3 linked regions of the Schizosaccharomyces pombe genome follow. Each later gene encodes a partner of the first gene's protein in a complex. Each region holds a gene or a part of one and is shown on either strand. Other genes may lie near its edges. The genes, in order: mrps17, rsm24 and rsm10.

Region 1 (3,439 bases):
CGTTGAGACCATGATAGAAAAACATGATGTGAAGTTGGAGAATATTGACATTGAAAGTGTTCCGGGAAGTTGGGAACTTCCTCAAGGTATTCGTGCTTCCATCGCCCGCAATACATATGATGCTGTTATTGGCATTGGCGTTTTAATCAAAGGTTCCACCATGCATTTTGAATATATTTCAGAAGCTGTTGTTCATGGTCTTATGCGCGTTGGCCTTGATTCAGGTGTTCCCGTCATTCTAGGTCTATTAACAGTTTTAAATGAAGAGCAAGCTCTTTATCGTGCAGGTTTGAATGGTGGCCATAACCATGGAAATGATTGGGGATCAGCTGCTGTAGAGATGGGATTGAAAGCTTTGTATTAATTAAGTTGAATCCTTTGCTCATTTTTTTGTTAATAAAATATGCTACTGACTGTTTTGCTCTTCGAAAGGACCTACTGACATGCTAAAGCTTTAGTCATGATCCTTTATACATTGTCGCTTTCTTATGAGCACCGTCTTAGTTGAACAAGTATGTTTTTCATTCAATCGTTTGCAACGTATTTTCATGATTCCCCAGTTTGTTAAGATATACAGCTATGGGTTAATGTATACGATGTTTTAAATTTGCTTAAGACTTAATCCCAACTTATTATGTTTTGTAAGCTTTATTTTGAATATATTACTGTCTATATGCATCTTGTTCAATCACTTGCCCTTTTTACAAAAAAAGATGTTACAGAAGTATTATTGACATAGTTGTAAACAAATTTAAAGGCATTGAATGCTGGGAGCAGGAAACATGGTACTACAAGAGTAGTTTTCTTTTAGAAATGAATGTGATTTGAGACTCTTCTGATGCACAATCTACAATTTGCAACATTACGTAGCCATTGTGAATGTAAAAATTTCCAGTTAAAATCGATATCGGTGTATACAGGTAATTGGCAAGTTAAGAAAGAGCGGTCAATCACCGATTTACAATATTCATGACCACCGCGAAAGACTTATCACAATGGATCAATCGAAATCATTAGGAATCATCAAAAATTAATGGGGATTTTTTATTTACTCTTTCGAAATCTCCGATGCTGGGCTCATACGGTTGGCTGTGCTTAAGATTTTTATGATTTCAAAGCGTTTAGTCGCTGACCGAGGCCTACATGGCTGTATTGTAACTGCATCTCCAACATTACAATTTAAATCATCTTGAACCATATAGTTTTGATATTGGGTGACATACTTTTTCACCACTGGATGGAACTTTTCTTTTGCAACCCGCACTTTCGCTGTTTTTGGCATTGCACGAGAAATCACGATTCCCACATAATTTAGCTTCATTCTTCAGAGTAATTTTAGGATTAAACAAGAAAAGTAAGTAAGTCTAATCCTTTAAATACCCACAATAACTAAGTTATCAATGCGCACCGTTTTAGCAGTAGAGAGTTTTGACATTGCCCTATTTACAAATGTGCAATGAAGCGGCGTCTTTTCCCTTATAATTATTTAACATAAATAAGCTTTCCTTAAGTCAATTAATGATAATATATAAATGTGATAAACAACATAACGAGGATCGGAAAAGTATGTGTATTTTATTTTAAAGTACTTTATGGTAGGGTGACTTTGTAGAGAAGAAGAACGAGGGTTATTGACACTGTGTTTTCGCCATGTTTGACGACCCATCTAAGAGACTGACATATTTTGAATATGCTGTCGGTGTTCTTTTATGTTCATGGCCTGTTATGAAACAGGCTGTTGAAGAAGAATGGGCCGATGTCGATACCGCCGATAAACGAGACTGGATGGCAGGAGTTTTAGTTGATTATATTACAGTTACGAGCGATGTGGAAGCATGGGACGTTGAAGAATTGATTCTTCAAGTCCTGCAGGATGAATTCAATGTTGGTTCAATAGAAGACGACTCACCCTATATCGTAAGTATTCACCAATACTAAATTAGGTAAAGATTTTTTTCAAACAAGAAAGAACGTAACAAGCTTGCTTGAGACTGAAGATTCGTATATATATATTGGCACCGAAAAAATGATTTAAGTTTGAGGACGAAATATTGGAATATTAGTCAAAAGCTCGAGTTTATACACATATTGCGTTCTGTTGTCTATATTAAAAATTTTTTACTTCTATTAGCATTTAAAATAATTATCAAGTGATACGTCTATTAACAGTCTATTTAGTTGGCTCAAGATTTGGTTAATGTGTGGAAAGCTGCTTGCGAAGATAATTATGAACCTATTCGTGAAATCCATGAGCGTCTCGGAAAACAATTGCTTGAAAAGGAGGAAGGAAAGGAAAAAACTAGAGAAGAGTCAAATCCTCCGGTATTGGTAGAAGACGAAACGATTGTTGATGCTGAGGATGGAGGAGCTGCTCAAAATCAGCAGGAAAAGCAGCAGGGACCCATTGTTGATGATGATGGATTCACCGTTGTCCAGAAAAGACGTCGTTAAAGAGGATGTACTATTCTTATATCTTTTGGTATCATTAAATGAGCATTATTGCTGGGAGCAATTGGTTTTATCTTTTTTGTATTTTGGGGGATAATAAAAATTCAAGTTTTTGGTTTGAAAATTGAAAATTGGGATCGAAATAACTCTTATATTTTTTAAGCCTTTGTAATCCGTGTCATAAGAAGATGTAGTTAAAAGTATAGAAGAACGTGATCCGCCAAAATACGAATACGAGTTAAATTGAGCAGCTTTTTCACTTCTCAAATTTTTAATACTTGTTTTTTATGAGATTAGGCTGTAAATAGAGTGTATTTTAGTCATGCAGACGTAAAAAGGCGCAAAATACATTCTTTCATGAATCGAATGGTTGTACATAAATATGTATTATTTTACTAGTCATTGATCCTTTAAAACTCAACTGCAATTCTGGCTTTCGATCCATGTTTTCCTCCTCTTCAGCAGTATTTGGTAGTGCAAAATTTCTAGCAGTTTCGATGATTGCATGGCTTTGGACCGATTCACTCGTAATATCCACTACTCTTTTCTCGTAGAGCGTGCGGATGGATCCTTGGTTGAGAAATGCAACTGCATGCAATTCACGCTGTAGGGAAAAAAGGAAAGCCCGAATATCAAGGTCTTCTTTTGTTTTAAAATGAATTCGAACGTGACACAACAAGTTATGCCTCAACCTCACAATTTTCTCAACAGAACACATTTGCACCTTGGTGTCTGGTTAGATACGGGAGGATGGTCAACCATAGCCAAAAAAAGCAAATGACAAAACTCTTTGAATTTCTCAATACTCCATGTATTAAGTTAAATTATATACAACAAAAGACGACTTATAAATTTCAATTCTAAGATGGGAATACAGTCAAGTAAATGAGTCGTAAACATAACGACTTTTTAGGAATGCTATTTATTATTTATTTTTTAACTAGCCAAGTAGTTAAGTATATGAACAACAATAATCCTTCAAAAGAGAGAA
Region 2 (3,427 bases), on another chromosome or scaffold:
CCCGTCTGCGATGAATTTTTTGAAGACATATGGTCTAAAGTGGCTTCAAACAATACTACTATTTATCGGCACATATTTCGATGTGTACCGGATGACGAGATGCTAACGTGGGAATCATATAATGAGTGGAAAAAATATGGAAAACGCTTTAAAGAAGAGCAAGCCCGCTGGCGTCAGGAGGAGTTGTCAAATCTACACGAAACTCATGAAAAGTCAGAGAATGATCCAAAAAATCCAAAGGCTGGTTCCCAAGGTAGTGGTAACACGAGTGCAAGTGAAGATTCGAAGACAGAGAAACCAAAAACCCGTACTAATAATGGTTTACAAGTTCCTGACAAACGTGTAGTTTACGACTTACTACGTGGCATTCGGGGACAGTTGGTAGAACTTCCATTAAAATGGATGTCTACCGAATCAAACGCAAGAAATTGGCTCAGTAGTATTGACAAAATCCCTCCGTTAGAAATTTATGATTAGAGAAACAGTACCTTTTATACTACAGTTTTATTTCATCTTAATATAGTAATGAGAAGGATTAATTCCTTCAATATTAGCTTACATTATAGACTCGTTAATTTTAATAGTAACTTAAACAAACTTTCCTTTCATATTATTCATCTGTAGTTGCTATCGATTCTCGTTCAAGTACTGTATTATGTGATTGCTTGCCAATCGTTGTTTTCTTTTTAGAAGTGAGTGTAGTTGCGTCTGCGAGCCATTCCTGTGGCATCCGTTTATCACACTTCTTGTATTTCCAATGGCCAGTATTCAATGGGACATGTGAAAATTTTTCAGCATTTCTCTTCGATTCTTCAATGAGCGAAGTTAATATCTTTATAAGATGATATTTATTTTGTAGTGCAGAAGAATACTTGTCGGAAGATATTCTGACTAAATCCTCCTCCGGATTATATCTTGGTCCAACCAATAATCGTAATACATGTCGTTGTTTCTCCTCTAGCAAAGGAATATTCGTAACTTTAAATGTAACAACGACCTTCGGATTCATTTTCTCAAACGAAGACATTTGGACATCAGATTCAAACCTAAAGATCTGGCTATCAGCAGGCTTTTTAAAAGACTGTGTGTAAGCTATAATTGTCAGAGAAAATGGAACATTAAGCATATTAAAGTGATTGTGAAATAGAATTCCTAAGGTAAAACTACCCAGTAAACTTACGCGTAAGTCCAGGAAGCTCATAAGCAGCTTTCCTATACAATTCACGTATGACCTCGTGCTCTTGTATTTTCTGCCATGATAGATTATTGGAATGGACGTTATCATCAATTGTTTTCAATTCCTTCTCGTCATGAGGCTCGATTCCAAAAGGCGCTGACACATAAGCACTTCGCTTAAATCTTGTAAAATAGAAAACAGAGAAAGCTCTACTAGTAGCACAAAAGCTTGATTTGGAAAGTTGCCCGAGGAATATGGCATCTGCTTTCAATAAAGATAAAAGGGGATTAAAAGCCATTTTATAACCACCCAAAACACTAAATATATGTAATATTTGTATTATAAAAAAAAATAAACCACATTTAACGAATGCGCAGTAGTGTATGATACCGGATTTTATATTTTCTTTGAAACGAAAAGAGTGGCCGTTATAAATGGAAATCTGAATCTAACAAAAACTTTTTTTCTAAAATTTAACAATCCAAATGCTCAAAACAATTAAATAAGCTACAAAAAGGTACTTGAAGGGGATAGTGAAGAATGTATAAACATTGTTGTCCTTGACTTGACTTCGTTGTATATAATTATAACACACTAAATCTTAGTAGTTAGAACCAGTAAAAACCACATAATAGACTGGAATGAAGGTTAGTAACGTAAAATAGCATCGATTCTACTCAATTGCATTTATAACATCTATTGAATAAAAACACCTAATAATACTTTCAAGCTTTTTTTTTTCTTAGGAATTTAATAGCACTTGCTTCCCATCCTTTTTTGGCATTCGCTGTTTAAAAAGTGTGTTAGTTATCCTTATATTTTGATTTTCGTAAGCAAGACTACACTACGTTACGCTGCGTATCACTATATGTCATCTGTTAGGATAGATTTAAGATTCGTTTACTAATAATTGCTGATAACTATTCTTTTGAGTACTTGTTTGTGTTTGATCATGTTTACTCCAAAAGATTATAAACAGAGTACATCTGAACAGAAACAGGTTCGTTTATATGTTAATTAATGGCAGGTAACAACGTAACCCATGTATAAATACTTACAACAAATTGCTACCCACATCACACCTATATATAATATGATATTACCGATCACAATGAAAACTCACAGAAGTCAAACAAGATACTACAATGCGCAGCTAGATAATATTGCACTTTCATTACTAGCGCTATTTAGTAAATAATTAAAAGAAGTTCGATTCAATTGTAAGTTTCATGAGAAAACAGGAAACTCCATTTAAGAATGATTTAAATATAAGAAAAAGACGCAATGTTTTTAAGAAAATGGGGTAAACAGAGTGATGGCAAGTCATCTGCTCAGCGTCTAGTCATTATTATTCCCTGTATGTGTTAATTCAAGCCTATCAAAGTAAAATAAAAAATTTTTTACGAAATAATCTTTTATTGAACTTGATTTAAAAAATCTGTATTTTTTATTTAACTATATTATTATGAACGTGAAATAGTGCTTAATTGGGTTCTTTAACCGTGATGTTTACAATGTTTGTATTGTATTACTTTTAAGTTAAGTAAAAACTAAATACCTTGACCCACATAACTTGTTCTTTGCAAAAATGTTAAGGAGCTGAGTATTTTAGAGTACTCAACACGAATGGAAGTCAATGCATATAACAATCTGTAGACAGTAATATTAGACTGTTAATGTTTACATGAGTCATTTGTAAAAAAAAAAAAAAAAAAAAAAAAATTATAAAATAATTGAATAAATAACCTATTACAGAAATCTTCAGACAACGATATTTTATTAATTTATTCCATTGCAATATTGCTTTAATACAATTTGGCTTGACATTGTGATGGAATTGACATGGATAATTTAAAATAATTAATTAAAAATTTTGTTGAAATTAATTGACTATTAACAATTCATGAAGTATCGTAAATCTGCCCTGATAAAATAAAATTTAAAAAAGTGTTGAAAGTGTTAATGGCTTTATAATTTGTAAACTTAGCCGTTTATTAAGTTTGAATATTGATAATTATTGAAGAATAAAGCATTATTTCCATTTTTTCTTCGTTGATTCATAGCTTTCATCAGACCTCTTCTGACCAAGGTTGACTAATGTATACAATTTGATTTTAATGACAATTCTTTCTTCTTATTAATAGTTTTTGCATAATTTTTCCCCAGCTTCTTATTTAATCCATCGAATATTTCAAATTTACTAACCCATCATCATTTTACCTTTAGATATTTTACGAGGAGCAACGCGTT
Region 3 (3,761 bases), 2.7 Mb from region 1:
AAGCAAAAAGATCCATTTCTATTTTAGAAAAAGCGGCCGACAAGGTTAAAACAGCAGACCGTCTTGCTATTTACAATGTGTTACTCGTTAAAGTGGCATTAAATTATGGTGTACTGGCGACAAGGACAGTTTATGAGAAGGCTATTGAATCCCTGAGTGACTCAGAAGTCAAAGATATGTGCTTAAGGTTTGCTGAAATGGAGACGAAACTTGGTGAAATCGATCGTGCTCGTTTAATATATATTCATGGAAGTCAATACTGTGATCCAAGAGTTGAAACGGATTATTGGAAAGCATGGCAAGAATTTGAAATAAGGTACGGAAATCCAGAAGAAACAGTTAAAGAAATGCTTCGTATTAAACGGTCTGTACAAACTAAGTTTAGCACTGATTCCCTTCATATAGCGAAGAGAGCAGCTAAAATTGAAAGTGCAGCAGCACCAATGGATCCAATGGAACAGCTTGAAATGGAAAAATCTGAAGGACCTAAGGCACTTGCGGGTTTTGTTCTTTCGAAAAGCAATCCCCAAGAAACTTCAAAAATTACTGGTGAGGAAAACTAACGAAACAAGTGTGGACTATTCGTAACGTTTTTAGTTAAAGAACACTTTTAATGAAGAAAAGCTAGTGTCATATTGTTAAAAAAAAAAGTACGAATACAGTCAGAGTATTTTTGCTAATAAACGGTCCAACATCAGAGTAATTGAAAACACATTAGTTAATTTTTATTTTCGAGATGAATTTTTTAACAAATCTTTGTAAATGGGGTCGTTTCTGAGCAATTTTTCGGCATTTTGTGTGATTATATCTTTTTTCGAAGGACCGTTTAACAATTCTTTGAAATTATCAGTAGACTTAGACTGTGACTCGAAGTTTTTAAGGGCATCATCGATGGATTCGTATTCATAAGCTTTTGCTTGCAATTTTAAATCCCACATGTTGCATTTTCGTAAATAACTAAAAAACGTTTCTAAAGTAACTGGATTGACACTGTACAGTTGTATAAGTCGAGAGTGCGTAATACGTTCAAAATTCTCCTGAGAAGATTTGTGAATAAAAGGTGATCGGAGTAAAGTCCAGCTTTCTACTTTGTTGGGTAATGGACGTGGACCCTTGATTGGAATTTTCATGTAATACGCTGTTCGACAAATGAAGTCGGTAAACGTATCAAGTTTTGGAGTTTCAAAGCTTTTAATTTTTAGAGAAGCACAAAGTACGTCGTTTTCAGAAGGATTGAATTTAACAGGGTTCAAATATACAGCTGCAACGTTGGAAGGAAGCTGTTGAAAAAATGGATTCTCAAAAAGTTGATCCTTTTCGCTGTTCCCTTTGCTAATAAATTGGGGTTAGAATGTACAAAATTATAGCTTAAATTAGAGGAAAGGATTGAATACATACGGTGATTCTTTGCCAATAGCTGTCTGGAAACAACGTTTCGGTTGCACGCGAGGTAATGTACCAAACATATACCGTTTCATGATTAATATTTTAGCCGGTTACTTAAAATACTTGTTAAGAAAACCACAAGAACAAAATTCCAACAATTAAACACTGTAAAGGTGTTTTTTTTTAACAAAATTTTTTGGTTGGAGTGGGGAGTAATGGTCGAGCTACACTTGTCATCCACCATCATATTCAGTTTAACACAATTATCGTAGGACTAAGGGGTTATTAATCAATGTTTTAATTGAACATAAACAAGCGGAGCGAAATCATTTTAAATGTCGTTCGCGCGTGAATACCTTGAAAAACACGTAGATGGTAACATTTATTTTAAAAAAGCAATATCATTCTGTAATTTATACTATGATGGAACGATCTAACTATAAATTTTTTATTTGCATTTGAAGGTCAAAGTTTAGAATTCAAAGGTGGGTGTGATTGTACTGTACTAAAAATATTATTGATGCACCATAGTGAAGAAAACCAAAAAAATTCGATTAAACATGAATATTTGTGATTATAAGGCTTTCAGCACAATTTAAAATTGACCAGTATGATGAGAGTTCTCAGTCAGCAATGAGATGTAATTTTTTAAAATTATGAGGAGACAATTATTTTACAATAACAAATTCCGGAAGTTAACAAAAGTGTGAACTGAACAATTGTGCTTTTGAGCTAGGAATTAAAGGTTTGGGACTGGCATCCTACTTGCAATTATGGAAGAATCTACTGATTTGTCATTCAAATTACTTTATACTACAAGAATACATAGGGATTTTGGAATTAAATGCTTACCTCGTAACACAATAATCGTTCTCATTTAAATTGGCTTTAACAATGAAAAATATTCAATGTTTTACAGTTTCAAGGTTGTATGTTAAACTGTTACAGCAGACAGCTATATAAATATATTAACTTGCGACCCTTGTTTACCAATCCTGCATTCAAAACTGACTTGCGATCACTGATATATATATATATATATTTAAGTATTGCAAACGAGTATCACTTTTCAAGCAGATAGGTTGGTGTCAACAACTTCTTGCTGCATGTCAAAGTCAAAGTCGCACATATGATTATTAAATTGACACTACCGAACATCTTGATAAATACTTCAAGCATGGCTTTTCTGGAAAACGAAAAAAATATATCGTTCTCATCTTTAAAAGTTTGAAGTTTGTATACATAGGTTCTACAGCTGTAATTCCTTCATAAAACATCAATGCATATTATTATTCCTTGATTCTAATATGTCAGATCGACTCATTATTAAAAATAAATTCGGTGATACATTTTTTAATCTATAATTCAAGGCACCATACTCATTATCAAAATAACTTGGTAATATAATTTGACGATGGAACTTACATCTTTGAATGAGTCTAAATTTTTTGTTTACGCGTTCAAAATGTTAGATGCATATCAAATAGTGCGGATAAATAAGAAGCACAATATTAAGTTAGGGTTGCTAATTTTATCTATCTATAAGCAGTGTCAAAAGTACGAAAGACTGCGTTAACTCTTCTTATAAATTTATATTAAACTTAATGTACTATTTTTTGTTCCTAAGTAAACTACACAGTGTAACTTTATATTAATTCATTATTTCTATTAATGCATCGCTACGAGCTTCATCAAATCCTTTAATTTTATCTGATGCATGTGCGTTCGTGCGCTAGTGAAGTAAAAGTTTTCAAAGGCAGAGATATTCAAAAATTTGGGCAGAATGTCGTTGCAAGCAATCATTTATAATGAGGACAAGCTTCTTGTATTAGACCAATTACTTCTTCCGTACGAGCGTAAATACATTTCAGTTAGTAATGTAGAAGACGCATTCGCTGTCATAAAAAAAATGCAAGTTCGTGGGGCCCCAGCTATTGCTATTGTAGCAGCTTTGAGTGTGGCTGTCGGATTAAAACATCTTTCTGAAGATGCAGATGCAAAAGAATATGTTATAAATAGCTTTGAGCATCTCAAACAGTCTCGTCCTACCGCTGTCAATCTTTTTGAAACTGCAAAGTTTATGCAAGGCATTGCTCTTCAAGAAGGAAAAAATTGTCGAAATAAAATTATTCAGGAAGCGGAGCGTATGCTAGTAAAAGATTTAGAAGACAACCACAATATTGGAACTGCTGGCCGAAAATTCTTGTTGCAGCATTACAAAGATAAAGACAAGCTCACCGTTTTGACCCATTGCAACACTGGATCTTTAGCTACCTCAGGTTATGGTACAGCTTTGGGGATCATTCGTAGTTTACACGAATCGGGGAACTTGGAACACGCTTATTGTACAGAAACTCGCCCTTATAACCAAGGCT

Evidence for each region.
Region 2: mrps17 (region 1) and rsm24 share a complex: the UniProt entries of both Schizosaccharomyces pombe proteins name them as parts of the mitochondrial small ribosomal subunit.
Region 3: mrps17 (region 1) and rsm10 share a complex: the UniProt entries of both Schizosaccharomyces pombe proteins name them as parts of the mitochondrial small ribosomal subunit.

The regions. Positions count from the first base shown.
Region 1 is NC_003423.3:1,165,884-1,169,322, forward strand, and holds mrps17 (mitochondrial 37S ribosomal protein uS17m), read right to left. Parts: upstream 1,415-3,439; 5' UTR 1,322-1,414; coding exon 1,049-1,321; 3' UTR 637-1,048; downstream 1-636. Other genes in the region: rib4 (6,7-dimethyl-8-ribityllumazine synthase), read left to right, coding at 1-364; rRNA processing protein Tsr2, read left to right, coding at 1,651-1,917, 2,179-2,451; DNA recombination protein Saw1, read right to left, coding at 2,804-3,166. UniProt on the Schizosaccharomyces pombe protein: Component of the mitochondrial ribosome (mitoribosome), a dedicated translation machinery responsible for the synthesis of mitochondrial genome-encoded proteins, including at least some of the essential transmembrane subunits of the mitochondrial respiratory chain.
Region 2 is NC_003424.3:562,218-565,644, reverse strand, and holds rsm24 (mitochondrial 37S ribosomal protein mS35), read right to left. Parts: upstream 1,720-3,427; 5' UTR 1,476-1,719; coding exon 1,181-1,475; intron 1,172-1,180; exon of another isoform or gene 1,093-1,171; coding exon 611-1,092; 3' UTR 572-610; downstream 1-571. Other genes in the region: phospholipase D Pld1, read left to right, coding at 1-477. UniProt on the Schizosaccharomyces pombe protein: Component of the mitochondrial ribosome (mitoribosome), a dedicated translation machinery responsible for the synthesis of mitochondrial genome-encoded proteins, including at least some of the essential transmembrane subunits of the mitochondrial respiratory chain.
Region 3 is NC_003423.3:3,868,010-3,871,770, reverse strand, and holds the start of rsm10 (mitochondrial 37S ribosomal protein uS10m), read right to left. Parts: upstream 1,604-3,761; 5' UTR 1,479-1,603; coding exon 1,399-1,478; intron 1,333-1,398; coding exon 726-1,332; 3' UTR 564-725; coding exon of another isoform or gene 1-563. Other genes in the region: protein Cwf3, read left to right, coding at 1-563; mri1 (methylthioribose-1-phosphate isomerase), read left to right, coding at 3,170-3,761. UniProt on the Schizosaccharomyces pombe protein: Component of the mitochondrial ribosome (mitoribosome), a dedicated translation machinery responsible for the synthesis of mitochondrial genome-encoded proteins, including at least some of the essential transmembrane subunits of the mitochondrial respiratory chain.